4 linked regions of the Schizosaccharomyces pombe genome follow. Changing the gene in region 1 together with any one later gene gives a genetic interaction. Each region holds a gene or a part of one and is shown in the gene's direction. Other genes may lie near its edges.

What was found.
Region 2: of crm1 (region 1) and ned1, changing one suppresses a phenotype caused by changing the other (phenotypic suppression), as found in Schizosaccharomyces pombe (one study listed by BioGRID).
Region 3: of crm1 (region 1) and alp14, changing one suppresses a phenotype caused by changing the other (phenotypic suppression), as found in Schizosaccharomyces pombe (one study listed by BioGRID).
Region 4: of crm1 (region 1) and mcm4, changing one suppresses a phenotype caused by changing the other (phenotypic suppression), as found in Schizosaccharomyces pombe (one study listed by BioGRID).

What each region holds. Positions count from the first base shown.
Region 1 is NC_003424.3:2,801,010-2,809,810, forward strand, and holds crm1 (karyopherin/importin beta family nuclear export signal receptor Crm1), read left to right. Parts: upstream 1-2,914; 5' UTR 2,915-3,112; intron 3,113-3,378; 5' UTR 3,379-3,498; coding exon 3,499-6,735; 3' UTR 6,736-7,244; downstream 7,245-8,801. Other genes in the region: SPOM_SPAC1805.16C (purine nucleoside phosphorylase), read right to left, coding at 1-891; transport protein Ugo1, read right to left, coding at 7,533-8,798.
Region 2 is NC_003424.3:4,988,966-4,995,607, forward strand, and holds ned1 (lipin, phosphatidate phosphatase Ned1), read left to right. Parts: upstream 1-2,162; 5' UTR 2,163-2,180; coding exon 2,181-2,240; intron 2,241-2,310; coding exon 2,311-2,592; intron 2,593-2,740; coding exon 2,741-4,369; 3' UTR 4,370-4,664; downstream 4,665-6,642. Other genes in the region: nickel-dependent urease Ure2, read right to left, coding at 1-280; csn71 (COP9/signalosome complex subunit 7a), read right to left, coding at 1,082-1,699; mrpl25 (mitochondrial 54S ribosomal protein mL59), read right to left, coding at 4,931-4,969, 5,081-5,479. UniProt on the Schizosaccharomyces pombe protein: May have a role in the maintenance of the nuclear envelope structure and in minichromosome stability.
Region 3 is NC_003421.2:1,009,487-1,016,890, forward strand, and holds alp14 (microtubule polymerase alp14), read left to right. Parts: upstream 1-1,956; 5' UTR 1,957-2,275; coding exon 2,276-4,705; 3' UTR 4,706-4,828; downstream 4,829-7,404. Other genes in the region: elongator complex subunit Elp2, read left to right, coding at 1-1,012, 1,055-1,390; SPOM_SPCC895.08C (uncharacterized protein), read right to left, coding at 5,162-6,634. UniProt on the Schizosaccharomyces pombe protein: Required for bipolar spindle formation and proper chromosome segregation. Has a role in connecting the kinetochores and the plus end of pole to chromosome microtubules. Also required for the activation of the spindle checkpoint pathway.
Region 4 is NC_003421.2:897,292-904,884, forward strand, and holds mcm4 (MCM complex subunit Mcm4/Cdc21), read left to right. Parts: upstream 1-3,096; 5' UTR 3,097-3,110; coding exon 3,111-5,846; 3' UTR 5,847-6,134; downstream 6,135-7,593. Other genes in the region: 19S proteasome regulatory subunit rpn1302, read right to left, coding at 391-1,341, 1,452-1,536, 1,734-1,864; SPOM_SPCC24B10.02C (NAD/NADH kinase), read right to left, coding at 6,259-7,593. UniProt on the Schizosaccharomyces pombe protein: Acts as a component of the mcm2-7 complex (mcm complex) which is the putative replicative helicase essential for 'once per cell cycle' DNA replication initiation and elongation in eukaryotic cells.

The sequences.
Region 1 (8,801 bases):
ACCAACTTCCAAAACCTCCAAGTGATTTGCAGCACCCTTAGACATGACATTCGAATCAACCTCCACTAAGTCTTTGGCAGAGGGGCTCTCTTCAACAACAACGTTGTTGGTAACCAAAGAAATGGCAAGAACACGAATACCACAATGACGCGCAACGACTACTTCGGGAACCGTAGACATGCCGACACAATCAGCTCCCATAAGAGCAAGCATTCGACTTTCAGCGCGAGTCTCAAAACACGGACCAGATACAAATGCATAACAACCTTCGTGAATTGTACGGCTAACCTTGTGAGCCTTGGCAGCATCGTAAACCAATTTTCGTAATTCTAAATCATAAGCATCCGATAATGGGGGGAAACGTACACCAAATTCGTGTGCATTAGGGCCTCTGAGAGGGTTCATGCCCGCGAGGCCAGGAAAATTGATGTGATCTTTAAGAATCATCAAATCACCAACTTTGAAACCTTGATTCAAGCCGCCAGCTGCGTTGGTAACAACCATGACTTCAACGCCCATGACTTTCATAAGACGAACAGGAAACGTGGTAGCTTCTATAGGATATCCCTCATAAGAGTGGTAACGACCAGCCAAAATCATAGTGGGAACGCGTTTCTCGCCCAAAAAGGCAAAGTACAATTTGGATGCGTGACCTGGAACATGGGAAACATGAAAGTGAGGAATATCTTCATAAGGAACTTCATAAACTGGAGCCGACAATCCAGAGGCTAATGTGCCCAAACCGCTACCGCAAATGATGGCAACTTTGGGCTTGGAAAGCTCTTCGGGGACTTGTTCAATGATGTATTCACGAGCCTCAAGCGCTTTAATGTAAGGTTCAGTATGATGGGGTTGCTGTTTTGCCTGGTGAAGAAAAGATGTAGCAGTCATTGTTGTTACAGAAGAGTTTCGAAAAAAAAAACAGAAATTTTGTATAAAAAAAGAAAGCAAGAACTAATATCTAAAAGGGAATTCTTTATCTTTAATATTTATTAGGCGTATTAGTAGCCAGGAAAAAGAATTTAAGGAATTTTAAAAATATGCAGTGGTGGGTAAATAGGGCCGATAGAATCAGTGTTAATTTGTTTTGAAAATTAGATGGGAAAATCGATAGCAATAACAATACTAACTGAAATACAAACAATAGAATGCACAGAGTTTTGAATAATGTGCAAGCAAAGACGAAGAGCTGGGAGTATCTTGGCAATTGACCTTTATAGAATATCAAAACAAAATAGTAAAAAATAAATAGAAAACGACGATTTTTTGGCACACACTTGATGCTATGCTTAATTTAATTTTGTTTTGTTTTTGTTTTTTGCTGAATATATGTGTAATAAAATTAATATTAGCCGTGAGAACAGAGTAATTGGAAAACACAGAATTGAATCCAACAATTGTTACAGGGAATTAAGTAAGAAATGGTCTATATAAATACTTCTACAAATGTTATTACTTCAACATATCACAGAAAAGCAGAAACCGGTATTACAAAAAGTCACCGAAATACATAATTTATATACGGGCTTTGGCAAACAAATGCGATATTTAGGACAGTGCTGGTCGGATGAAAGCGCCTATCAATTCAAATTTTCTTCGTGCTTGATAAGGAAATGTTGCAGATAAGAATAATGAAAAAGAAGAAAAAAAAAGAATAAACAAAAGCAAAATGTTCAACAAATTTGAAAAAAATTTAGTTCAACTGTAAATCAAAAACACGTTAATTTTACATTTAAAAATGTAAAATATAATGCGGCCAGAGAGGTTCGAACTCTCGCGTTTTACAACAGCAGGGATCAAGGCAGAAGCCTCTTAAATCTGCCCCCTTAGACCACTCGGGCATAGCCGCTTAATTGTACAAACTAATTAAATAGAGGTATATATCTATAAAAATAGTTGCGTGTACTGTAAATTGTCTGGGTTTATTAGAGTATATGTACACAACCTGACTAAAATCGTATAAATTAGTTAAAAAAAATGCATTGGATTTTTTATACCTTGAGAGCCATGCCAACTCCAAAGGTCAATATTTGGTTTAATGATTTTTTTTTCCTTCCCTTTTCTTTATTTAACACACTAAATGTCGGGTAACTGCGAGTTAATAACGAACATGATCAGTTTAATTCAATTTTCATTCTTTTCTATTTCCATATAGAATTGTGGCTGTAACCGCGAAGCATTTCATACGGAAAGTCGCCTTTATTTACATAAGCAACATCTTTGTTGTGTGGCTATAGGAGTTAAAGCAAAAAAGGCGAATTACTAAAGCACAATGAAATGGCAAATCTTTAGTAATAAGTATATTATTTCGTGCCGATGTTCCATAAACTTGGTTAAAATAATTTGGAAACATGATTCTAGCTGTAATTCAATTTTTTTAAATTCATAACAATTTTTAATTTACTGAATGATAAACTTTCCTTCTGTTTTGATTTACTCGTTGACTTGTAAATTGATAATTAAACCATAAAATACCTAATAATTCATAATAAAAAAATTTAAAAAAATAAATTGATGTTTTTCAAATGACCTGTCTTTGCTAAATACTTCAAAACAAACAAACAGAAAAATCCACGTACGACACATTTATTTCTGGTTTAAACGCGGACGTTACGATCAAATTCTTACCGCATTTCTCCCATTCACGGAAACGACCGAACGTCTTACCGGAGGAAGTAAATTTTGTTTCAAAACTAATACCATTTTTTTAAAAAATTGCAATCTGCTGATACACTCAGTTTTATCGCCATCATTCTCGTTCCATTTTATGTTTACTTCATTCCCATCAATTTCTGCCTATAATCACGTTGTTAAATTTCCTTAAAATAGATAACGCAAAACGATTGGATACGCTGCATGCTTGCTATTCTTCTTCGTGTTTCTTTGCCAGCCTTGCGGCCACACCTTTTACCTCCAACACAACACTTGTTCTTTTGCATTTCTACCCTGGGACGTTAGGCAGTAGCCTTTAACTGTATACATTCTTTCATTCTCTTGTTTCCATTGAGTACAAGACAAATTTCTATCGCGTGAAGCATCTCTTGGGACGAGGAATTTCGTTATAAACAAGAGAATTTGGAATATTTATTTGGTTTTTATTTATAGTAAGGAGGTAAGCACTTTGAACGCTCGTGTAGATACGTGTTATTTTCCTTGGTCTTCTTTTAGGAAGGATCTTGTTATCTTTCGATTTCCTGTTCTTCGATCTCTTGTTTGAGTTAATTATTGTTTTTTCTCTATTATTTTTGCAAGGGAGGAGTAATTAATCAGCAAGTAGGAGATTAAAAATTTATATTATTTTGTTTCTATTCGATAAAATTAATTTTTCTTCTACTTTTTTTTATTTTTTTTTTCAAATTTCTAACTTGATTGCTGAAGTCCTTTATACATATACAATCGCATAAGGTTGAGGTAATTATCCTTTTCTTTTTACTTAAGACATTTGTTCAATACGTTGCCAACCATCAATTTACATTTTTTGCTTTTTGATTTGTAAATATGGAGGGCATCCTGGCATTCGATCGCGAATTAGACGTTGCCCTTTTGGATCGTGTTGTCCAAACCTTTTACCAAGGTGTCGGTGCAGAGCAACAACAGGCTCAACAAGTCCTGACCCAATTTCAGGCACATCCAGATGCATGGTCGCAGGCTTACTCCATCTTGGAAAAATCAGAATATCCCCAAACTAAATATATCGCTCTTTCCGTCCTTGACAAGCTTATCACCACTCGTTGGAAAATGCTTCCCAAGGAGCAGCGATTGGGAATTCGCAATTATATTGTTGCTGTTATGATAAAGAACTCGTCAGACGAAACTGTCCTGCAACAACAAAAAACTTTTCTTAATAAATTGGACCTCACTCTCGTTCAGATTCTTAAACAAGAATGGCCTCATAATTGGCCCAACTTCATCCCGGAAATTGTCCAAGCCAGTAAAACAAACCTTTCACTTTGTGAAAATAACATGATAGTCCTTCGTCTTCTGAGTGAAGAAATTTTTGATTACTCAGCTGAGCAAATGACTCAGCTCAAAACCAAAAATTTAAAAAACCAAATGTGTGGCGAATTCGCCGAGATTTTTCAACTATGCTCACAAATTCTCGAACGTGCGCAAAAACCTAGCCTAATCAAGGCTACCTTGGGAACACTTCTCCGATTTTTGAATTGGATACCCCTTGGCTATATATTTGAAACAAACATTGTTGAGTTAATTACAAATCGATTCCTAAATGTTCCTGATTTTAGAAACGTTACCATTGAATGTCTTACCGAAATAGCTAGTCTTACTTCTCAACCTCAGTACAACGATAAATTTGTTACAATGTTTAACCTTGTGATGACCTCTGTTAATTCTATGCTTCCTTTACAAACTGATTTTCGTGAGGCTTATGAAGAAAGTAGCACAAACGAGCAAGACTTTATCCAAAATTTGGCTCTCTTCCTTTGCGCTTTCTTTAGCTCTCATCTTCGACCATTAGAAAATCCTGAAAATCAAGAAGTCCTTCTTAATGCTCATTCCTACCTTCTTAATATCTCGCGAATTAACGAGCGAGAAATTTTCAAGATCTGCCTGGAATATTGGTCAAAATTAGTAGCTCAGCTTTATGAAGAAATGCAGCAAATCCCCATGTCTGAAATGAATCCATTACTTAATCTTTCTAGTCCTACATCTCTCATTTCTTCTAATCCTAATATGTTAGCCAATCTTCCTTTAAGGAAACATATCTATAAAGATATACTTTCAACTCTTCGATTGGTTATGATTGAAAACATGGTCAAGCCCGAAGAAGTCCTCATCGTCGAAAATGACGAAGGTGAAATTGTTCGTGAATTTGTTAAAGAGACGGATACAATTACCCTTTATAAATCTATGCGTGAGGTTCTTGTGTACCTCACTCACTTGGACGTGGTTGATACTGAAATCGTTATGACTGAAAAACTTGCACGTATTGTTGTTGGTACAGAATGGTCTTGGCAAAATTTGAATACTCTTTGTTGGGCAATCGGCTCAATATCCGGTGCTATGAATGAAGAAATGGAAAAGCGCTTTCTTGTTAACGTGATTAAAGATTTATTGGGCCTTTGTGAAATGAAACGTGGCAAAGATAATAAGGCTGTTGTTGCCTCTAACATTATGTACGTTGTAGGTCAATATCCTCGCTTTTTAAAAGCTCATTGGAAATTTCTCAAGACCGTCGTCAATAAGCTATTTGAGTTTATGCACGAATATCATGAAGGTGTTCAGGATATGGCTTGTGATACATTCATTAAGATTGCTCAAAAATGTCGTCGCCATTTTGTTGCTCAACAACTGGGAGAAACGGAGCCGTTTATCAACGAAATTATTCGTAACTTGGCCAAGACGACTGAAGATTTAACTCCTCAACAGACTCATACTTTTTATGAGGCGTGCGGTTATATGATTTCTGCTCAACCTCAAAAACATCTTCAAGAACGTCTCATTTTTGACCTTATGGCGTTACCCAATCAGGCCTGGGAAAATATTGTCGCTCAGGCTGCACAAAACGCTCAAGTTTTAGGGGACCCTCAGACCGTTAAAATATTAGCAAATGTTCTAAAGACAAACGTTGCTGCATGTACTTCTATTGGTTCCGGTTTCTATCCTCAAATTGCTAAAAATTATGTAGATATGCTTGGTCTTTACAAGGCTGTTAGCGGTTTAATATCAGAAGTGGTTGCTGCCCAAGGAAATATTGCTACCAAAACTCCCCACGTCAGGGGATTACGAACTATCAAAAAAGAAATTTTGAAATTAGTAGATGCTTATATAAGTCGAGCGGAAGATTTGGAGTTGGTCGGAAATACTCTCATTCCTGCGCTTTTCGAAGCAGTGTTGCTTGATTATTTACAAAATGTTCCTGACGCTCGTGATGCCGAAGTTCTTAATTTGATAACCACCATTGTCAATCAACTTAGCGAACTCCTTACTGATAAGATTCCTCTTGTTCTTGATGCTGTTTTTGGATGCACCCTTGAAATGATTAGTAAAGATTTTTCGGAATACCCCGAACATCGTGCAGCATTTTTTCAACTTTTACGCGCCATTAACTTGAATTGTTTCCCCGCTTTGCTCAACATCCCGGCACCACAATTCAAACTAGTGATCAATAGTATTGTATGGTCCTTTAAGCATGTTAGTCGCGACATTCAAGAAACCGGACTTAACATCTTACTTGAACTTATTAATAACATGGCGAGTATGGGACCTGATGTTTCAAATGCATTTTTCCAAACTTATTATATTAGCTTACTACAAGATATATTGTATGTTTTGACTGACTCTGATCACAAATCTGGCTTTAAGCTTCAAAGCTTAATTTTGGCTCGGCTTTTCTATCTGGTTGAATCAAACCAGATTACTGTACCTCTCTACGATCCTTCTCAATTCCCCCAGGAAATGAACAATCAATTATTTTTAAGACAGTATATCATGAATCTACTAGTCACAGCTTTCCCCCATCTTCAACCTATCCAAATCCAAGAATTTGTACAGACAGTGCTAGCTCTTAATCAGGACAGCATCAAATTTAAACTTGCTTTACGTGACTTTTTAATTCAATTGAAAGAATTCGGCGGGGATAACGCTGAACTTTACTTGGAGGAGAAAGAACAAGAGTTGGCTGCTCAACAAAAAGCCCAACTGGAGAAAGCTATGACTGTTCCTGGTATGATCAAACCTGTCGATATGCCTACTATGGAGGAGGAAGAACTATGATATTCTTCAGCAAAAACGTATTTAAGCTTAGAACTTTAAAATATGAAAGGAATTATATATTTGGTATCTTTTACTATTGACTTAATTGTGGATGTTATTTATCCCTGTTACTTGAGAAGTTTACTTAATTCCTTTTTTTTCTTTTTTTTTTTTTTGAAAAGCAAGAAGGGTTTTTGACATGACATGGCCCGTAATTCAACGTGTTAGATAGCAAAATGATGGCGCCAGTTGTTATTGATTGCAATTCAAACTATATAAAAAAGTAATAAAAAAGCATAAAGTCTTTAGAGATTCAACTTTCCGTGCAGTGTTGTAAATTAGAAAATTAAAGCATTGTAAGGATTTGGGTTGCCTCATTTTTTATACTGTTTATAAATTGAACGAGCAGCTATACTTGAATAACACTATGAAGTCTCGTGTAAGAGATCTCAATGCGACGTTGAAGTCCTTTTTATTGAATGCTGGCGTTATGCAACCTTGCTAAAGGAAACACCAACGTATTTTCACATAACTACGTTTTTGCTTCTAGAAAATGTATTATTACCTTTAATAAATTATGTAGCTACTACTATTCCGTTAGAGAATACGGTAAGAAAGAAAAACGAAAACATTAAACATAAATCAAACTTACAACTACAAATATGACTATTCGTGTAGTAATTTGGAATAAAAAAAATTCCAAATTACAAAACATCACCTAACTAAAACCTTTTTGAGAATTCCGTAATTTACCATGTGAACTTTCGTCTCTTCTGACTTTGTCTAATAAACAGACAATCAGACCCAAAACCTGAATACTAAAATTCAACTTCTTCACGCAAATTAGAGGAGATGTAGTTCAATGCTAAGGTACTCGACATTCCCCAAATACCCACTCGCCATCCACGATACAAACCTTCTATTCCAAATTTACCCGGATCTTCTTCGCTTAAAAGACACCATATGGTACCGACGATACCAGTGTATTTGCCTACGGGAACGATAGTTTGGGGTGGAAGGTTGCATTCATACTGGGCTTGTGCTCTTCGAAGTACCATTTCTAAAGGGCATTTGAGAAGAAATTGAACGGCTGAAGTGCCCAAGCCAACCATTGCATCAAGTGTAGGAGATGAGCCCAAAAAGTTGCGGAATGTTAGTGGAAGCACACTCGAAACAAATGGTGGTAAGCTGACATAACAAACTGTGGGTAAAATTAACGATGAAGGGCAGTAAAAAGGCAATGCTTTCAAGCATTGTCTGATAGTAAGAGGTTTAAATTTTTTATGCGAATTGCCAGAAGTTTCAGAAGCTGAAGACAAATAGGAAGATGAGGAAATGGGGAAAAGAATTATTTTTGTTCTGGCAATATCAAGGGGAGATAGAATAAGAGCAGAGATCGCAGAAGTAATGGATTTGATGAAAAGGGAAAGAAGAGGCCGAACAGAATCTATAGGTGAAATAATGTTTGGATCTGCTATTGCGAGAGCTCCAGATAATGTTGCCGAAAGCCAGGACTGTAGGCCGGAATAAAGTAAGTTATGCAAAAAGCTGATTGTATGACCTTTCCATAAACCCCTAGCTCCTTCTTTCTCCCATAGCTCACTAATGATACTTTTAATCGAAAATCTTTTCGAATGAATTGTATAGCTTCTCTCGATGAGATTCGAAGGATCAGTTACATAGCCAGACGCATCGACGCAAAGTTTCTCAGCTAGCTGTTCTGTTACTGCCTTTTCTGTGGTAGGTGTTTCAAAGTAAGCATAGATTTCGTGTTCATCATCACTGAGACCTTCCTGTTCTGTGCCATCGGGAATATCCTCATCATAAGGCTCCTTTGTTTGTTTCCCATCACGCTCAATTTTAGTTCGTTTTGGTAAATATTCTTCTACTTGACAGACAGTTTTTGCTACTTCCAATGGCTGTACAAAAAACGTCGTTAAATATTTGGTCACTAGAATACTTCTGAGTGTCTCAAAAATCTCACTCTTGCTTATGGTCGGTTGCGTCTCAAACGTTGGTTCTGGAGTTATCGAAAAAGTAGGCTCAACATTGTTAACCACGACATATGGTCTGTATGGATTCATGCT
Region 2 (6,642 bases), 2.2 Mb from region 1:
TGGTAATTAGATAGGTTCCATCAGGGAAAGTAGCTTCAATCATAATTTCATGTAACAAATGAACGACATTGGGCTGAACATGGCGTTTACCCAGCATATCTTTACCAAGACTCATCAAATCTGCTACGGAATGATTACCGTCGCGAACATATTCTTGAATTTGAGATGCAATAAGTGAAGTAGCCTCTAACTTGTTAAGCTTTACCCCTCTACACAGCCTTTTTTGGGCTAAAGATCCCAGCTGGTGAAGCGTTAATTTGTGTAGCTCTCTGGGTTGCATAGTTGGAACAACGCTAGAGTGATATCTCCGATACGCTTCCTTTCACTTTATCGATATAATTTTACACTTTCCGACTAAGGATTTGTAAATTAGTTCGTGTTGAGACGTTTATCGGTAAGTTGCTGAAGGATGCATTTAATCTAACCACCATATATCTTATCTTAGTCTAACAGGCAGGGTGCGCCGATTGTACGCAACTAACAAGAAGAAACTAAGGTAATGTAACGAAAAGCTAAGCATGAAGTTGAATTGGTGTCAAAAAAAGCATAACTATGAAGTTTACAAAAGTTGGCACGTAGCAGTTCGCTTGAGCACTTATTCAAGTAAAAGGAAAGGGAAATAAGTATTGTTTATTTTTTGTGCACGAACTGATGTCGACCATTTCTCGATAATTAGTATACTTATTATTCCAGTCTATATTTGAGTATAGTATGTTGTGTTTACACGCAGCAAATTATATCATCGCATGAAAATTATATGACCAAAACCCATTTTTAAAATATTAATTAGATCTATTAAAAAAATCATTATCTACCATAAAACGCTCATAATGTATATGCGAGACAAAAAAAACATAGTAACGAGACCACCAACTTTTGAATTTACATCTCGATGAACCATGAAAGGAAAAAATAGGGCAGGTGTAAGATAAAAGAAAACGTCTATACGAAATTTAATTTTGTCAAATCCTCAACTTTTGTAATTAACATCTGCACTATATTGTTCCGTCCATATATCCTCGAAACAACCTTTATATTGATAAGATGGCTTTTAGGAGAGGAAACAAGTTTTTGTATGCTATTATAGATCAAAGTCAGTATCGTCCGGACGAGGGCGTTTATCAAACACCATGTAATCGATTCCGTCGCTACTTGACATGCGACTAGCACGTTTAAAAGACTTTGATACACTGGGCGTTCCTGCATCTAATTGAAAAAGGATATTCGAGCACCTTTCGATGAAGCGGTCAAGGGAATACTTCATTTCATCTATCCTTTTGGAATCGAGAAATCTTTCAAGTGCCCAAGATACATGTAAAGTCTGAGTTTTTGCATTAATTTTTCCCACTAAAATTTGATTCATCATGGCCTGCATGATATAATATTCGACCGTGAAGGTAGGATCAGAGGGAGGAAGCCGATCTAACTGTAGATGAACCAATATGGTTTCAAATGAGACGGAACTTCCAACATGTCTATTAGCCAAATCGATAAGTGTAAGAAGTCGAAGTTTTTTGAAACGCAATTCATTCCATTCAGATGAGGCATCTCTGATATCTCCTCTGCAGAATATCTCGAGTGTCCTTAGAACGGCGCTGTCTATAGGCTGTGATTTCTGGACCTCTTGGCACTCAATCCATAATTCCTGAAAGCAAAATACATTCGGATCGTCAATCGCCTGTGAAATCTTTTCTTCCATGACAAGAGATATTGTAAATGTGATGGTTAATGATGTGCCACAATATTATTAAAACGTGCAAAGGAAGCCACAATCAAAAGTATTCGTGTGTATTTTCAAATAATGGCCCTTCAGTAATCAAAGGAACATAAAAAGGGATGCAAAAGTTCTCCTAATATCTTTACTTTGAGACTTATGCGTGGGACCCTGCAAAAACAAGAATGGTCCTTAAAATCCAAATTTCATAAAAAAATCTCTATTTTTTCTAAACAAATTATATATCTATATAAAAGAAAAGAAAAATGTCGCTTTTTCCAAGTTCAGTGTTATGAAGTTCGGTGGTTTGTTTACATTGCTTACTTTTGTTATAGTATGGGACTGTAAGGTCAAATAACGTAACAGACCGCAGGGACCATAGATGTTGCCTCGCCCTTCCTCCCACGCTTTTGCTCATAATGGTATGCTAGTCATCCCATTTACCTCTGTTCGTAGCTGCTGCACGATGCAATATGTAGGACGAGCGTTTGACTCTGTTACGAAGACGTGGAATGCAATTAATCCAGTAAGTTCTCAATAATTAGAAATGATGGGTTAAACAATTGAACAAATATGCTAACAGTGTTCGTAAATAGTCGACTCTCTCTGGAGCCATTGACGTGATTGTGGTTGAGCAAGAGGATAAAACATTAGCATGTTCACCTTTTCATGTTCGCTTTGGAAAGTTTAGCTTGCTTTTGCCCTCAGACAAAAAGGTTGAATTTTCGGTCAATGGTCAATTGACTGGGTTTAATATGAAACTTGGGGATGGAGGTGAAGCGTTCTTTGTATTTGCTACTGAGAATGCAGTTCCACGAGAACTTCAAACATCTCCCATTGTGTCGCCTACCACTTCGCCAAAGCAAACACCATCCATTGTATGTACAAAAGTAAACTGGGGCTGACTTGTCCGGTGGAAAACAGTTATGTGCAATATTTTAATGAATACGGTATCAGAATTCTGCACAACTACTTTCGGCTTTTAGTTTATCTCAATCACGAAAATTACTAACAGTCTTGCTTTAGAATGTCACTGAGCCTCAAGATCTCGAGCTCGATAAAGTATCTCAGGATCATGAGAAAGATCAATCGAATACCTATTTGATGGAGGACGGTTACGAGTTCCCTCTTACTCGAGATTTAATTCGCCGTTCGAAATCCGATGCCGATCAAACACCTCCAACCGGCTTTAAGCACCTTCGACATTCGAGTTGTTTGGAAATGGCTGGAAGTGATAGAACTCCGTCGATGCCTGCAACAACGCTAGCAGACTTACGATTGTTACAAAAGGCAAAGGAATTGGGGAAAAGGCTTTCTGGGAAAGAACTTCCTACACGTGTTGGGGATAATGGTGATGTGATGCTTGACATGACAGGTTATAAATCTTCTGCTGCGAATATAAACATTGCAGAGTTGGCACGGGAAACATTCAAGGATGAATTTCCCATGATTGAAAAGCTTCTGCGTGAAGATGAAGAAGGTAATCTGTGGTTTCACGCTTCTGAAGATGCCAAAAAGTTTGCGGAGGTCTATGGACACAGTCCTCCTGCAAGTCCATCTCGCACTCCTGCGTCTCCAAAGTCCGATTCGGCTTTAATGGATGAGGACTCTGATTTAAGCCGTCGACACTCTTTATCTGAACAGTCTTTGAGCCCAGTTTCCGAGTCATATCCTCAATATGCTAAAACCCTTCGTTTAACCTCTGATCAGCTTCGTTCATTAAATTTGAAGCCCGGTAAAAATGAGCTTTCCTTTGGAGTCAACGGGGGTAAGGCCATTTGCACTGCTAATCTTTTTTTTTGGAAACACAACGATCCTGTCGTTATATCGGACATTGATGGAACAATTACCAAATCTGATGCTCTAGGGCATATGTTTACCTTGATCGGCAAGGATTGGACTCATGCTGGAGTTGCCAAATTGTATACCGATATCACTAACAACGGCTACAAAATTATGTATTTAACTAGTCGTTCGGTAGGCCAAGCCGATTCTACTCGACATTATCTCCGGAATATTGAACAGAACGGATACTCTCTACCCGATGGTCCTGTTATTTTATCACCTGATCGCACTATGGCTGCTCTTCATAGAGAAGTAATTTTAAGGAAGCCAGAAGTATTTAAAATGGCTTGTTTGCGTGATCTTTGTAATATTTTCGCCTTACCTGTTCCTCGAACACCATTTTACGCCGGCTTTGGCAATCGTATTACAGACGCAATATCTTATAACCATGTCAGAGTTCCACCAACTAGGATTTTTACCATTAATTCTGCTGGCGAAGTCCATATTGAACTGTTGCAGCGAAGCGGTCACCGAAGTAGTTATGTTTACATGAATGAGCTTGTCGATCATTTCTTCCCTCCCATCGAGGTTAGCACCCGAGATGAAGTCTCAAGCTTTACTGATGTGAATTTTTGGAGATCTCCTTTGCTTGAACTTAGCGATGAAGAAGAAGACGATACTAATAAAAGCACATCCAAGTCGCCCAAAACACCCAAAAATACGAAATTCGGATATCAAGAATTCGAGGGGATTGACGAGGAAGATGCTCAAGATTATTCTCCTAGTCCATTGATTAAGTCTTTCAATGAATTAATGTTTGAAGGTGAAGAAGATGAAGAAGGAGAAGAAGACGTTGAAAATGCTGTTTGAAGTTGCATTTTCCCAATTTCCGATGAAAAAAAAATTACTCGACTGTCCATCTTTTTTTTTAATGCCCCAAAATCTTAAAATCACTTTGACGAATTTCCGTCGGCTTTGAAATGCACTAATAAGCTTAGAAAGTTACATAAATCATATAATGACTTACTTACTCATTCACAAGTAATGAGTTTTGAGAAAGTGCTAAATATTTTTTTTATATTTAAATGCGCTCTTCCTAAAAATTAAAGATAACAAGATACTTCATAATGAAAAGTTACGAATAAATCACATTCTAAAATCCTAAGTCTGCAGATTCAAAACCTAATATTTAAATGTAATTTAACTATTAAAGTAGAATCATATTATTAGTAAAGATTACAAAAATGTATAGACTAGTATATTAGTCTTTTTATCATGCTGCACAATAAAAGACTTTTAGTAAACACATAATTGAGGTAATATAGCAGTAAATTTAAATGAATCTTTAAAAAAATTTAAGGAAGTCATAAACAAACAGGAATCAAAAGGTATTAACAGTATTACGTGAAACCCACTTTGCAGAAGAAGAATTTAGAAAGGAGAAGGTTTCGCTATTTTGCTAGCTTTTTGCTAAAAAGAGTGTTAATAAAGACAATTAAAAAAATAATAATAGTAAATTTTTCACAATCAAAATCAGTAGATAGAAATAAGAAAATCATGAAAGTACAACAGTTTACATACGCGCTCATTTTTAAATTTAGAAGTTTTCTTCAATGATTCCGAAAGTTTTAAACGCCTATTTTCCAAAATCTCATCCCTCTTTCGTTCACTAATTTTTCCTTTAGGATTCAGAAGACCTTTCAAAATATGGCGTGTAGAATCTTTCTGCCATGACATTTGTTGGGGGAGTAAATTATCCAGATTCTGAAGCCTGGCCTCTTTATATATTTCAGCTTGCCTTCTATTGGAATAGTAAGGGTTGATTACAAGGCCATTCTGAGGATTTCGAGTTGCGAGAAACGGATTTTGACGATTTGGATTTGTCGTCCATGCATTTGGATTTTCAGGCGGAAACTTTTTAAAAAAGTTTCCTAATTGGATAGGAAGCCGTTCCAAAGCTTCCTTGGTAAAGACTGGCATGATAAGGTTAAAACCTCTTTAATCTATAGAGAAGCTCAAAAAGACAGTGAGTCAAGCACTATTAGTATTAGAAAATACATTGACCTAAGATGTCGGCAAACGTTTAACTGCGCTATATTACGTTAAATCAATCATTACTGTTCATTCTTGAGTTCTTAATCGAAACTTTTCATCGTTTGAAATATTAAAAGAGTTTATTATCTCAGACAATTCTAAGCCAATTTATTGACTATTAGCGTTTATTAGGTCGGACTAATTCTTAGTTACTCAATTTAGTTCCAATGGATATACTAATTAATATAATATTACGGTGTAGCAGTACTATAGTTAATAAATACAAAATTATCCAGGGTATTATTTTATACAAATATAAAAATCACTAACATATTTCGTTATTATGTATATCGTTGTTAAATTAGCAACTATACAAACTCCTTAAAATATTTTACATACTGCGTAGATGGCTTCCTCTCGCATTAGTCCCTCTACCTTAGGCATCTTTGTTGGGTTGCGTTATTTAATTATTGAAGGCTGACAGTATGTGTGATTGTGTTCCGCCAACGTAGCATTCAAACGCTTTCAATCATTATCGTTTTTAGTTGTGATTGCTTCTATGATTCCATCAAATGAGGCCCGTTCAAGTAAGCTGTGTGTGGTTATAGAGTTTCTGATGCCAGTAAAATTATCATATCAGATCATGTACGGATTCCTACTGACACATGTTGAGAGTAAGCAAAAAAAGCTCAATCATGCTTATTTTGAGTATTTTAAAACATAAATAAAAGTAAAAATTATTGTAGGAAAAGTCCGGTCATCTCTCGATGACTCCAATTAGTGGAGAATATAAGAAATACTAAAGGAATTATTTATAATGACATGTAACGCAGTGTGACATAAAGTTAGTAGTGCATAGAACTGTTGGTGATATCAAGTTGACAAGGAATCGATAAGACGCTCTTTAATGTTGAATATTAATAAGCCCTGTAAGTATCCCTGTTCTTCTAGTTAGGTCTATAGCTGAAAAACCTTCAATTCTCTGGAGCTTGTGTGGTTTTATCCATTATCACTTCCTTCGATTTATCCCTCGTAAGGAATAGGATAGCAATGCGTATAGATCAAATCGCGGATTATGAATGAAGGCTTGTGCGATAAATTTCCTTTAC
Region 3 (7,404 bases), on another chromosome or scaffold:
GATGGCTTCTTCTCACGGATCTACTACAGCAACTGGTAGTGCTGGAGGGTTTTGGGGAGGTTTGTGGAACCCAAATGGTAATTGTGTAGTATGCTGGGGAAGAACTGGTGGATGGAGACTCTGGAAGCAAGATGCTGGGCAATGGCTCCAACTTCCATCTATTTCTGGTCACACAAAGTCAGTGAAAGGCGTTGCTTGGGATCCTGAAGGTAAATTCTATTTATCCGCCGGCACAGATCAAACTACTAGATTGTTTGCACGTTTTAAAAAGGATAATGCTTGGCATGAAATGGCTCGACCTCAGATCCATGGCTATGACTTAACCTCTATATCCTGTATGCCTTCTCGAATTGGATTTTTGAGCTGTGCCGATGAAAAGGTGTCTCGTGTTTTTAAATTCCCTAAAACAATTGTTAGACTTCTTTACCGTTTATGCGATACCAATATTGGGGAGGAAAGCTTACCTGATGCTGCAAATGTTCCTTTACTAGGTCTTTCTAATAAAGCTACCACTGCATCTGAAACTGGTACGGTAAATGCAGAAGAAGTTCAGACTCCTGTTGCTGATGTGATTGGTTCTTTGAACCATCCTCCTTTTGAAGAACACTTACAGCGTTTGCTATTGTTTCCGGAAGTTGAAAAATTATTCGGCCATGGTTATGAGGTTTATGCATGCGCCATATCTAATAATGGTAATATTGCCGCGACTTCTTGTAAATCACAAACCCCCGAACATGCTGTCATTCGGTTATACGAAACGCAGTCATGGAATCAGCAGCAAGTCCTTAAAGGTCATTCTTTGACGGTTACAACTATAAAGTTTTCACCTGATGACCGATACATTTTAAGTGCTGGGCGGGATCGGTTGGTGTGTTTGCATGAGCAAGCCGAAAATTTATTGGATTATAATAACTTTGCTTCTATAAAAGCGCATTCTCGTATTATTTGGGATGCTAGTTGGGCTCCCAAAGAAATGGGTTACTTTTTTGCGACTGCTTCGCGTGATAAATTCGTGAGTAATTTTTTATTTGATCAAATCTTGCTAACTATTTAGGTTAAATTTTGGAAAATCAATGACAATAAAAAAATATGTGATGTTGCTGCTCTCCAATTTTCTGATGCTGTTACCGCTGTTGACTTTGCTCCGTTCTTTCACAACGATGAACTCTTGCTTGCGGTAGGAACTGAAGCTGGTAAAATATTTATTTGGAGATGCCCGAGAGAGAATCTTACCAAATGGTACCCAACACGTTTACCAGACCACATGGCTCCTATGGAGTCAATTAACCAAATTTTATGGAAGCCCACTTTTGAAACTATGGGGTTGTATTCTCTTTTAATTGCTGGCGAAGATACCAGTGTACGACTTTTGAACGTTACGTTGGGATAAACTTGAAAATAAGTACAATTGGTAATGTTAGATTGGGTTGGCCTGTTTTAAACATACCTGAGGGGTGGTTAAAAATGCTTAGATAAATTATTTATTGTTATAATTGTCGATAAATAAAAGGAAGGTTAATGGGTTGTTAGGTTGGCATAATTAGTGCTGAATGGTAGACATTCATCAGATTGATTCATTACTTTAGTTGTTATATATATATATAAATATGTATTTTTAATTATTAGTATCAAAAACTTTGGTGTAGTAGTCTTCTCAATTAACTCAAACACAATTTTACATGTTAGAGAAAAAAACAACACATAAAAATTTTTTTTAAAAATAAATTATATTTAAAAGGTAGATAAGGCAAGATTTTAACTAAGAAGTATTTTCAAGCGTAATAGAATGCAAGTTGTAAATCTAACTAAGAACATTGATTACTTCTACGAAATTTAGTTTATTTTTTTTCCCTTTCTATTACTCGTTTACATTTATTGAAAGAACGGAGCAAGCTAGGAAGTAATTTATATTCAACTGAATGACTGCATTTTCGGTAGTGTCCAAAAGTAACACTTACCAACTCCAAACATCTATTTTGCAAACCTAAGTCTTAATAAAGATACTTTTTATTAAAGGCTATATTTTCTCAGGTTTGAATTTGTTGACTCAACGAGTTAATACTTATATACTCCGGCCTTGCTAAATCGATATTCTGTAAAGTTTGACAGTGTTGTATTTGCCTACAGGCTTAACGAGTAATTACTTATTATTTATTCAAAAAAGGGAGAAAAGGTACTAAGTACAACTTTTGAGTTTTAGAATTGGAGTTTTGGGAGAGCATTTGCTGTTTATTTATCTTATACGCTCCTTTAATTTTTGGCACCCCGGAGGAACATGAGCCAAGATCAAGAAGAAGACTACTCCAAACTTCCTCTAGAATCAAGAATAGTACATAAAGTATGGAAAGTGCGTCTATCTGCTTATGAAGAGTGCAGCAAATCGTTTTCACTTTCAGCAGATGGTTCGGATAATTGCTTTGAGCTTTGGAATAATCAGAGTGAATTGTGGAAATCAGTGCTGACTGATAGCAACGTAGCAGCTCAAGAAGCTGGTACCGCAGCGTTTGTAGCTTATTGCAGGTTTTCCGATCCTTCTCATTTACTTAAAGCTCGTGAAATATCAGTCCTTTCAATTTCAGAGAAATGCTTAACATCACCTCGCGCAGGTACAAGGGAAAATGCACTAGAAGCTCTTATGCTATTAGTTGAAGCAGATTCAGCTGCGCCAGTTATAGAATCAATCATTCCTTCTTTATCGGCTCGATCCCCGAAGGTAATAGCTTCTAATGTCGCTGCCATTGCTAGTCTAGTTGAGCAGTTTGGTGCTAAAGTTATTCCTTCAAAAATGATTATTCCACATATCTCCAACTTGTTTGGTCATGCTGATAAAAATGTTCGTAAGGAAGCATCTCGTTTAACTGTAAACATTTATCGGTGGACAGGGGATCCTTTAAAAGATTTACTATTTAAAGATCTAAGACCAGTTCAGACGAAAGAGCTTGAGTCTCTTTTTGCTGAGCTACCAACAGAGCCTCCCAAACAAACTCGTTTTTTGAAAAGTCAGCAACCTACATCAGAGCCGAATGTTGAAACACAGGTAGAAGAGCAACCTGCTCTCGAGAATGAAGAAAGTGAACCAGAACCGTCAGATGATCAATTTGATTTGGTAGAAGAAGTGGACGTTTTACCCAATGTGGATCCTAACCTGGAAACTTTAATGGCTTCTTCGAAATGGAAGGATCGTAAGGAAGCGTTAGACAAACTACTTCCTGTCTTATCTCAACCAAAGATCAAAGACAACGATTTTTTTAATTTAGTTGCTATTCTCACAAAGTCTGTTTCAAAAGACGCAAATATCATGGTGGTTATAAATGCTGCACACTGTATACAAGCGATGGCTAAAGGTTTACGCTCAAATTTTTCGAAGTATGCCTCAACATCTATTAATGCACTGTTGGAACGATCCAAAGAGAAAAAGGCTAATGTAATCGAATCACTATCTTCTGCGATGGATGCTGTTTTGGCTACATCCAGTTTGGATGACTTAGCCGAGCTCATTGCTAGCTTTGCCGGGAACAAAAATCCTCAAATCAAAAGCTCCTGCTTTAGTTTGTTCTCGAGATCTTTCAGTAATATGACATCCTTACCATCTAAGTTTACAGTTGATACCTGTGCTAAAGCATGCGTTCCTGGTGTTTCTGATACCTTTGAGCCGGTGCGTAGTGCGGCAGCAGAAGCCTTGGGTGTTTTGATGAAACTCGTTGGTGAAAGAGCCATTAATCAGTATTTAAGTCCGTTGGACGACATCAGGAAATCTAAAATTCGTTCTTTTTATGAAACAGCTACAGTAAAGGCTAAGGCACCTACAAAAAAGTCGAAAGTTAAACCTTCAAAACAAGAAGAATCAAAAGTCGTCGTACCTTCAAATGCTAAGGCTGTCAAGAAATCCGTTGTTCCTTCTAGTCCAGTTGTACCATCTCCACGAAAGGCAACTAACAAATCGCTTTCCATGGATGTATCAAAGGGTAATGCATTTGAGAATGGTCCTTTGTTACCAAGACCGACTACGAGGCCAGTTTCTCGAGGGCTTTCACGAGGCACATCTTCCAGTTTGCAACAAAAAGTAAAAGCTTCCACTCCTTTGAATTCGGGAGCACTTAACGAAACGGTGCAAAATTTGAAGAACATGGAGTTGGACGATCCGGCTCCTCAACCGGCTAAGCATTCACGAGTTGATCGTTATGAACACCCTAAAGTATTAGAAGACAATGACTCTACCATTTCGTCTTTAGAATCTCTGAAGAGAGAAAACGAGGAGTTACGAGAGCAGTTGAAAGTTGAACATGAAGAGAATATTTCTATGCAAAAACAACTCAGTGAATTGAAAGGTGAATTAAATACCTTACGCAGTGCCAGGAAAGCCTCACCAATAGGAGACAGAAAACCTGCATTTATGCGAAGAGCTAATACTGACTTTTTAGAGCTCTCTACGAGTCCCTCATTTCAACGTTCAGTGAGGGAATTTGAACCTACTAGACCTAAACTTTATAGCTCTATAGATGTGAATCAGAGATCCCCTTTAGCATCTGCGAAAACAAATGGTAATTTCACGTTTCATGCTGAATTACCAAGATCACCGTTTTCGTCAAGGGCCAATAATATCAATCCTGATTGGACTAAAGCCATTGATTTAGCTGCCAAACTAAAACAAAAAATTACTGAGATGAAACAAACAGACCAAAGACATCAGGGATTGATTCACTAGTTTTTAAATTCTTTCGTTTACATTCCAATGTCCCTTACTTCCCTTTCTATTTTTTAATGTTTTAGAATAATGATAATATCGGTTTACAAAAATAATAACAAAATACGTATTCTCGTTTATACCAAATTTCTTAAAATCAGATTTAACTATAGGTTAAAGATGGAGTCAAATGGTAACTCAAACACACAACACAAACAAACATATAAAATAAATAAAAGAATTTTAACGTACGAATTTATCGCATTAAACGTATTAGTGTCATTAAAAAAAGTAGTCTGTTTAATTTTGCATCACAAGTATACTGTATAGCCGTACCAAGTATAAACGAAAACCTCTTTTTAAAAAAATTAAACATAATAAAGAAATTGTTAGAAGAAAAAAAATAAAGATATGCGTAAAGTACAGACAGTCGAAAAAAGAGTAACAATCACATGAGTCTTTGCCCAATGAAAAGTTCTAAGCTTTGTTCAAAAAGTCCGGAGGACTGATGTTGCTAAAGTAGTCCAAAGAAGCGGTGGAAGGAGTATCGGCATCACCATCATCGTCCTCCAGGTAGAAATAAGAATCACGATAAGGGGAATAAGGCGGTAAATGGGACAATTCCGACTCTAATTTCCTATGAAACAGATATATAGGAAGCTTAAAATCCAAGGAATCTAGCCACTCATTTAGTTTTTTCGCATTTTTTCGAGAGTATTTAGATAAATTTGGTAGGGAGGCTTCGGAAGGAGAGGCTAAAGATTGCTTTACGCTGTTTTCAGTATCGCCATGCCAGCTTCCAGAAAGCGAAGAAGATGATGATGAGGGTCTTTTCATAGAAAATAGTGAATTAGATTTAGCTTTGTGAGTCCGAAGGAATGGGGGAGCGAGTTTTCGGGATAAAGAGGAGGGTTCACGAGAGTGAATTGATACATAAATTGAATGTCGCACAAGGAGGTGTGGATTTTCTGTACAGCTTCCGTGAATTAAGTCGTTCACAGGAATTGTGAACTCAACTCTTGAATGGAGGCCAGGAACAATAGGTGGAGACCACTTACCATCCTCAAAAAGGACAGTAATGGAGTTTCGAAAAGCATCATTAAAAAGAAAAAAGGTAATGCTTTGGACAAGAAGCACTCGTATATAATAGCGTTTTAACTTCTTTTCGACTACAGGAGACGAGGTACGAGATAATGAAGAGCGTCCTTTCATATCACAATCATTACTCAAACGTGGTAACCGATCTTGAAAGATAAATTGAGAATCTTGGGAGTTAATAGCAATGGGATCTATATGGGGATCATCTGTTCCAGCAGAACCTGGGGTAGATGACAGTACATCTGCATCTTCGGACTCCAAATCAATTAAAAGTGGGCAAACACAGCCTGGTCCTTTATAGCACTGTTGAGGATATTTAAAGAACGCAGTTAGAAATGAATACTTTGAAGACTTCATTGATAGCGAAGTAAAACACGCATCGTTTAGGGGCGCTCCATAACGTATGTGCTGAGATTCAGGAATTCGATCGGGATTGAGAGTAAAAGGTACAACTACAGGAACATTGGCTGACTTTGGCATACGACAATCATCTTCAGTATACAATTTAACCGTTAATTTGTAAGAAATCGAACCTTCTTGAGTCACAATCGTTCGTGGGGTGCACCTAGGAAGTGGAGCAATGATATCAAACGTATAGAAAACTCCTTCCTTTACTTTGAAATTATTTCCAAGATCCCAGTCGATATGATTGAAATGACACTCCAGCGGTAACTGTCTCTCAGTAGGAAACTTTTTCAGACCAGTAAAGCTTGCAGTAAGGTATTTACAATAAAATGTATCAGTTGTCACAAAGTACACCTTGTATTTAAGGATAGAACAAGGATGCTGAACTTCTTGAAAGGTGTCAGAAACCGCTCCTAAAATATGTATTTTGTCTCTCGAATTGTCCATGTAAATTAAGGGCAGAGACAATCAAGGGCACCAAAAAAGAGACATTTCAACGTCAAGCTTAACCTTACAATCCTTTAACAAAGAATTGAAAAGAATACTTGGCAATTTATAGTTTTCGTAAATTAAATGGAGGAGATGTTGTACGAGATATGTCATTTAAATGAGAGGGTCATAACAATGAAATAACGAAGCTTCAGTATAATTAGTTCTATCGTTATCATTCACCATATGAGCGGCGTTAGCTATCATTATACAATGAGTGCTCTTTAGTAACGTTGGGCATGAGACTGATACTCACAATATGACATGCAAGTTAATCCTTTATTCCAAAATAAAACTTAATAAAAAGCATGAAGCCCAAATGAACTCTCATTCTTCCATTAGGTCGATAAAAGTTATTATTATATTTATAATGGTATACTCTATAGCCCTAGTCATACTAAGGATAGCAAAGTAATATTACCTCCATTATATTATACATTACAAAGAAATGCCGACACAGTTTTTCGTATCCTTACAGAGAGTGCAAAAGACATACTAATTACTGTTGCTAAGCTCCATATTTCTGATACTGAGGCACAACGAAGTTTTCACTTAACTTTAATGAAATTTATCATCTCGTAAAATGGAATGTAAATACAGGTGAACGGGTAAGGAAGTATTAGCTTTTCAGTTGTTTGAGTAAAAAAATAATTTTCAAATACATGAATTATGTTGGTAAATAAACAATCTTATTCAGCACCTCCTAAAGCAAGTAGACGCGGAGTTAA
Region 4 (7,593 bases), on another chromosome or scaffold:
ATAAATTTATTTTTTTTTTGATTTATGTTCAAGCAGCTTAAAGACTTCTTTCACGCAAGAGAAGTATTTCTTGAATTCTTAATGATATTGCGATATGTAGCTTAATGCAATTGATATATAATTCATTGTAAATTTGGAAGAATATCAGATAAACGAGAAAGGTGAAACCATTCCCTATACAAGCTGTTATACCCCTACAAGTACTTTGCAACAATCCTCTCCCGTCAACAACAAATAAACAAAAAAAAAAAAAAAAGGAAGCTTAAATGTTGAAATACGATTACTCTACTTTTACAATTACATCACGTTCTTTGTGCTAGCTTGTTGTTCATAAACATAACATATATTAAAATATATATATACGAATTCGTCTTTTCCTCTCCACGCTTCTTATTCGTCCTTTTCGTTACTTTCTCTCATTTCAACATCTCCTTCCTCCTCAACTTCGCCATCAGAACCTTCTTGTGTTATGTGCGAAATCACAATCACCCCTTCATTCACCAAACGGTCGTACAACGCATGCAAAAATAATTCAGCTCCACTAGCACTTTGCACTTGCTCTAAACTCAAGTTGCAAATTTCACGCAACGACTCTGACTCGGGTTTTGCAACTGCCTCCATTAAACTCGACAAGTGCTTAAAAAAATCTCGATTTTCGCTCAACTCTGCACGACCGCTGATGCGCAAAAGGTCGGAAGGAGAATGTGGGAAAATCTTGGGATACACTCTAGGATGTGTAATCACACGATGAGATTCTCTGTCAATGGAGAAAGGCTCGACAAACGTCGTTTCATTCAAAATCAAGGGCTGAAGTTGCTCTAATAATTCCAACGTACGTGAATGAGTATAATCGATGTTTTCATCCAAAGGGGAGGCCGTTGCCTCCTCGTGATCTTCGCCATTCTCACCAGCTGTAGCATGTGGTCCATTCAAATTCGACTCACTTGACGCACGATACATGTTTGCTGACTCGTTAACGTTAGGAAATCTTGGCAGGATAGCCGGTGCTTCGGCTGTAGGTGATAAAACTTCCCAGTTAAAGTCTTGCAGAGCATCTTGGCTTGCTGCACCAAACAGTTGCAGCAGTTGGCTGGTTGATGAATCATCCGTACCTCTACTGCTAGAATTATTATGTGAGTTGATAGTCCGAGTCGTATTCACAGGGTCAGCAATTAATTGATTGATTAAGGAAGCTGTTTCCTTGTCTTTTTCATCACTATACTCCTGCATCCAGTAAAAATGAATCTGCGAAGAGGATTTAAATTTTAGTGCATATACGCGTCCCGTGGTACATTCATCAATTTTGATAAACTCTGCTTCTTCTGGAAATATGATGTAGTCCTTCATTATATGTTAGTAAACATAAACCAAATTAAAAAAAAAAAAACGCAAAAGTAAATTTATATATATAAATAGGTATACTTTGCAATTGATTTAAATTGTCTTCATACATCTTCTACTTCTCTAGAAACCCTGGCCCTTTCTTTCCAATAGAAATGCAATAATTCATCAGAAGCCATTTGCATATAGATAACTCTAAACAAATGTCAGTATTAAAAATCAGATCTTTTAACTTTATAAACAGAAAACAATTCCACAAAACCCAACAGTGTGGATTTTCACGCATCCTTCCAACGTAAACATGCAAAGAAGCTTCATAAACAATTCTTTGGGTAGAATTTCGTTTTCCCAGTAGAAAGGACTACTATCTATATTATTATTATAGTACATACCCTTTTCGGTGATCAGCTTGCAGAATATTCGTTCCTGGCTTTCTTTGAAGTTTTCCAGCTTTTACGGAGACTAATCCATACTTTCCTCTCTCGCTAGTCTCGTTTCTTACTCTTCCAAAAACTGATTCCATTTGTAATTTATTTTTTGTCAACTCAAAAGCTCACGATTATTGACCTTGTGAATTGTTGTGGTATAGTTGAGTATGCAGTGTACACAGTGCAAGTGAGCAAAGTAATCCACACAAACGTATCATGTCTATAGACATGATTTCTCAAAATCATTTAATTTTCTAATTGTCGCCACTATAATCATCTTTTATCATGTAATAGACAATCTTTTTAGGTGGTTAACTGCTCTAATATTTGAAGCTGATTTATCAAGCCGCATTTGATGGTTTCGCCTAAAAAGATGTTTTAATAGCAAATTAATACTACACTTTAAAAGGAAAAGGAACGTTCCACTATGCAGTGGAATTCATCTCTTAAAGGGCCTTGAAAAGACATAAGCCAATTTTTGTATCATCGTTAATGGCATCAATAGTAAAACAGAATAAACCAGTTTTCACCAATTATACATAGAAGAAAATCAAGATACAATAAATGTCTATAATCCTTTCAGGTTTTGAAGAGCAAAACATAATCGAGAAAAAGTATGCGTCCTACACAATGGTATTTCACTAGAAATAATAGAAAAATACATTCATACACTATTTGAAATTCACACCATATAACTCATAATATACAGACTTAAGTTTTTTTTATTAGAGACAGTCCAGTAGTCGAATGGTCAAATGAACTCTACAAATGGTTAATATAATAACAACTCAGGTATTCAATATGAGAGAAAATTCAAAATAAACCTTATTTTAAGAAATATTATTAGTAAAATTACTAAATCACCATCTGCCCTCTTCAATTAGCGTCAAATCACAGTTAATAGATTCGACCTTCAAATACAACTGGTAGTTCCAAATTGCAAAAACGATCATCTCAAAATGTTAAACTAGCATAACGTTTAATTAAAGCAATGTAATCCTTTATTTCAACATTCTTTTCATATTTCTCTTCATTCGTCCAAAAAAATAGAATATCACTTAAAAGGAAGTAAGTCAATAACAAATTCATAATACCTTATTTATGATAACAAATTTGCTTTAATTGATCCTAATATCTAGTGTCGCAAAGTTTTTTAGTTTACATTTTCATAGTCAATTACTGGTAGCTTGATGATCAATGGAGAATATGACAAATTGTTAAAAAATTATACAAATTTCCAATTATTTAAATCTTTGCTATGCTATTTATCTCTTCATTGTTGTATGTTTATGAGTAGTTACTCTACTCCCTTACACTGTCTTTCTACACCCACCACGAGTCATGTCCTCTAGTCAGCAAAGTGGCAGAGCCAATGAGTTGAGGACTCCTGGAAGAGCTAACAGCTCTTCAAGAGAAGCAGTGGATTCTTCTCCGTTATTTTTTCCTGCTTCGTCTCCTGGTTCTACACGCCTTACAACACCGAGGACTACAGCGCGTACACCTCTCGCTTCCTCTCCTTTACTGTTTGAATCTAGTTCACCAGGTCCAAACATTCCTCAGAGTTCACGTTCTCATCTTTTATCTCAGCGTAATGACTTGTTCCTTGACAGTAGTTCGCAGAGAACACCGCGCTCGACAAGACGTGGAGACATCCATTCTAGCGTGCAAATGTCTACCCCATCTCGTCGAAGAGAAGTTGACCCTCAACGTCCCGGGGTAAGCACTCCTAGTAGCTTGTTGTTTTCTGGGTCAGATGCACTCACGTTTAGTCAGGCGCACCCAAGCAGTGAAGTAGCTGATGACACTGTCCGTGTCATTTGGGGAACAAATGTATCTATTCAAGAAAGTATCGCTTCCTTTCGTGGATTTCTACGTGGGTTTAAGAAAAAGTATCGACCTGAATACAGAAATGAACTTATGCCACCTCCTGATGCCGAACAACTAGTGTATATTGAAGCGCTACGAAACATGCGTATTATGGGTTTGGAAATATTAAATCTTGATGTTCAGGATTTAAAGCATTATCCCCCAACCAAGAAGCTATATCACCAGCTTTACTCATACCCTCAAGAAATCATTCCTATCATGGATCAAACCATTAAAGACGTTATGCTAGACTTGTTAGGAACTAATCCTCCCGAAGATGTTCTTAATGACATTGAGCTTAAAATTTACAAAATTCGTCCTTTTAATCTTGAAAAATGCATTAATATGCGTGATCTTAATCCTGGTGACATTGACAAATTGATCTCTATTAAAGGTCTGGTACTTAGGTGTACACCTGTAATACCCGACATGAAGCAAGCATTTTTTCGATGTTCAGTTTGTGGTCATTGTGTTACCGTGGAAATCGATAGAGGGCGAATTGCTGAGCCCATAAAATGCCCTAGAGAAGTCTGTGGTGCTACAAATGCAATGCAGCTAATTCATAATCGTTCTGAATTCGCCGATAAGCAAGTTATTAAACTCCAAGAGACACCTGACGTGGTACCGGATGGCCAAACCCCACACTCTGTAAGTCTGTGCGTATATGATGAACTGGTTGACTCTGCTAGAGCAGGAGATCGTATAGAAGTCACTGGGATTTTTCGCTGTGTACCAGTTCGTTTGAACCCTCGCATGCGTACTGTAAAATCATTATTTAAAACTTATGTCGACGTTGTTCACATAAAAAAGCAGGACAAACGTCGTTTGGGTACGGATCCTTCTACGTTGGAAAGCGATATTGCTGAAGATGCTGCTTTACAAATTGATGAAGTACGGAAAATATCAGACGAAGAAGTGGAAAAAATTCAACAAGTTTCAAAGCGGGACGATATATACGATATTCTTTCCCGGTCTCTGGCACCTAGCATTTACGAAATGGATGATGTTAAAAAGGGGCTTTTGCTACAGCTATTTGGTGGAACGAACAAGTCTTTTCATAAAGGCGCAAGTCCGAGATATCGTGGAGACATAAATATCTTGATGTGTGGTGATCCATCTACGTCTAAGTCTCAAATTTTGAAGTATGTCCATAAGATAGCACCCAGAGGTGTTTACACTAGTGGCAAGGGTTCATCTGCTGTTGGTTTAACTGCCTATATTACTCGTGACCAAGACACGAAGCAACTAGTCTTGGAAAGTGGTGCTTTGGTACTGTCAGATGGGGGCATTTGCTGCATTGATGAGTTTGACAAAATGTCCGATGCTACACGTTCTATTCTTCATGAAGTTATGGAGCAGCAAACCGTTACAGTTGCCAAGGCTGGCATTATTACTACTTTGAACGCTAGGACTTCTATTTTAGCTAGTGCAAATCCAATTGGAAGCAAATACAATCCAGACTTGCCTGTCACCAAAAATATTGATCTTCCGCCTACTCTCTTATCTAGATTTGATTTGGTGTATTTAATATTAGACCGCGTGGATGAAACGCTGGATAGGAAGCTCGCAAATCATATTGTTTCTATGTACATGGAAGATACTCCTGAACATGCTACAGATATGGAGGTCTTTAGTGTGGAATTTTTGACAAGCTATATCACATATGCTAGAAATAATATTAATCCTGTCATTAGTGAAGAGGCAGCAAAGGAACTAGTGAATGCTTATGTTGGTATGCGAAAGCTTGGGGAGGATGTGCGAGCATCTGAGAAAAGAATTACTGCTACAACAAGACAACTGGAATCAATGATTCGTCTATCTGAGGCCCATGCGAAAATGCATCTTCGCAACGTTGTTGAGGTAGGAGATGTTCTTGAAGCTGCTCGCTTGATTAAGACCGCTATTAAGGATTATGCAACTGATCCTGCAACAGGAAAGATTTCTCTTGACCTAATTTATGTTAATGAAAGAGAGACTTTGGTACCTGAAGATATGGTCAAAGAACTGGCGAATTTAATTTCAAATTTAACTGTGGGTGGAAAAACTATGTTGGTCAGTCAATTGTTAACTCGGTTTCGTGAGCAGAGTTCTACTCGCTTAGATGCTTCTGATTTCGAAGCTTGTCTGGGTGCTTTGGAAAGGCGAGGACGTATTAAGGTTATTACCAGTGCTGGACATCGCATTGTACGTTCAATTGCACAGACTGATTAATTTTTTAGCGAATAAGCTGGTATTATTCATGAGCCATAAACCATAGGTCGTTGTTGAAAATCAAAGACTACAGAGCATAATACGAATGTCTTTCTTGTTATATATACACACGTTCTTTTTGTTATAAAAATATTTTACATATTTATCGAGGGATCCTTAACATTCATTTTTCTTTTTTTTTTCGGCTTTTGAGTATGAACTGAACAATGAGTAAACATTATGAATATAAATTCGTTAATACCAAAGTTGAAATAATAATAATAATAATAATTAACATAAACTTTCAAAAAACTAACAGATATCTAAACAATCGTAACCAATAATTCGCCATGATTCGTAGAGGCAGTGTGTGCCTAATTTTAAGTATTTTCAACAGTAGTCAGATGTCATTAAAAGAAAAATGGATAGCAATTTAACCATCAATGTCTGCAGAAAATTCTCTGCAATAGGAATTATCTGTAATATCAAATTTATCGTCACTTGTATCCTTAACATCACTCAAGCTTGGTTTTCTAGAAAAGGGCTTTTGACGCTCACGCACATTCCAATTGAATTTATCTTCTAATACCTTGGTCCATTGGTATCCTGGATTTTGAATGGTTGTGAAAGGGTAATGAGACGTAACAATTGATAAATAGTCGCCTCTATGCATCTCCACAGATTCATGACGGTCAACGGAAAAGAATGCACTACTTCGAGAATCCAAAGGGATCTCAACGTTCAAAACATTGTAATCTGGTAAAATAATAGGACGGAAAGAAAGCGTATGAGGACAAACTGGTGTTACTAAAATCGCATTTAGTGCAGGATGTACCAGAGAACCACCAGCATTCGCTGAGATGTTGGTGGATCCTGTAGGAGTAGCTACAACAAGTCCATCAGCTTGAACCACAGTCATAAGTTCGGAATTGTTGTAAACATTCAAGTTACTAATAAATGGATGTTCTCCTCTACTAATGAGTATTTCATCAAGAGAGTATGTTGTGGAAGCCAAAGAATACTGCTTAGTTTTTTCATCGTATTTATGAAAAGAGCACTGAAGCCGCGAACAAAACCTGAGTGACACGTTTTGAGTTAAGACCTGATACAAATGCTGCTGATAGTTAGATAAACTAAAATGAGTCAAAAAACCAGGGACATCATCATCGGAAAAGGAAAGAACAGGTGGCCCAATTTTTTGAAATAACCACGATGTGTACAATAATGTAGAGTTGTCGCCAATTGTTATAGCTAAGTCAAAAATACTTGGTTTAATCAAACAAATATACGGATTCCAATACTTGATCCGGTCAATGTCGGTATTTGCTTCTTTAGCGATGTTATGAGCAGAGAAGCGCTTGGAACGAGCTAGTCTCATATCCACATATACCTTGGTTTCCGGTGTTCCGATTGTGAGTATATATTTTGTGATTTCTGCCGTCTTGTAAACTAACGAATGCTTTCGAGGTTTCGTTACAACTAGTATATTCTTTGGTTCCAAGGCAAAGGAGCCATTCGCAACCTCATTATACATAAGCCTGGAAGCAACCACATTCTCTATATGCATCGCAGAGGAATTAGAAGTCCTAGATTCTTGATGAAGCTCACCAAAGGGAGGATGAGCGGGTGAAGGGAGGTTAGAAGTTGCCAATTCTCCAACCGGTGTATTTAGGCCCGACAAATCAAACTGCATTGAGGAATTCGACAAGCTGTCAGCACTGCATTGTCGAAAATGAAGATTTTTTTTCTTCAGCTTGTTTATTTCCTC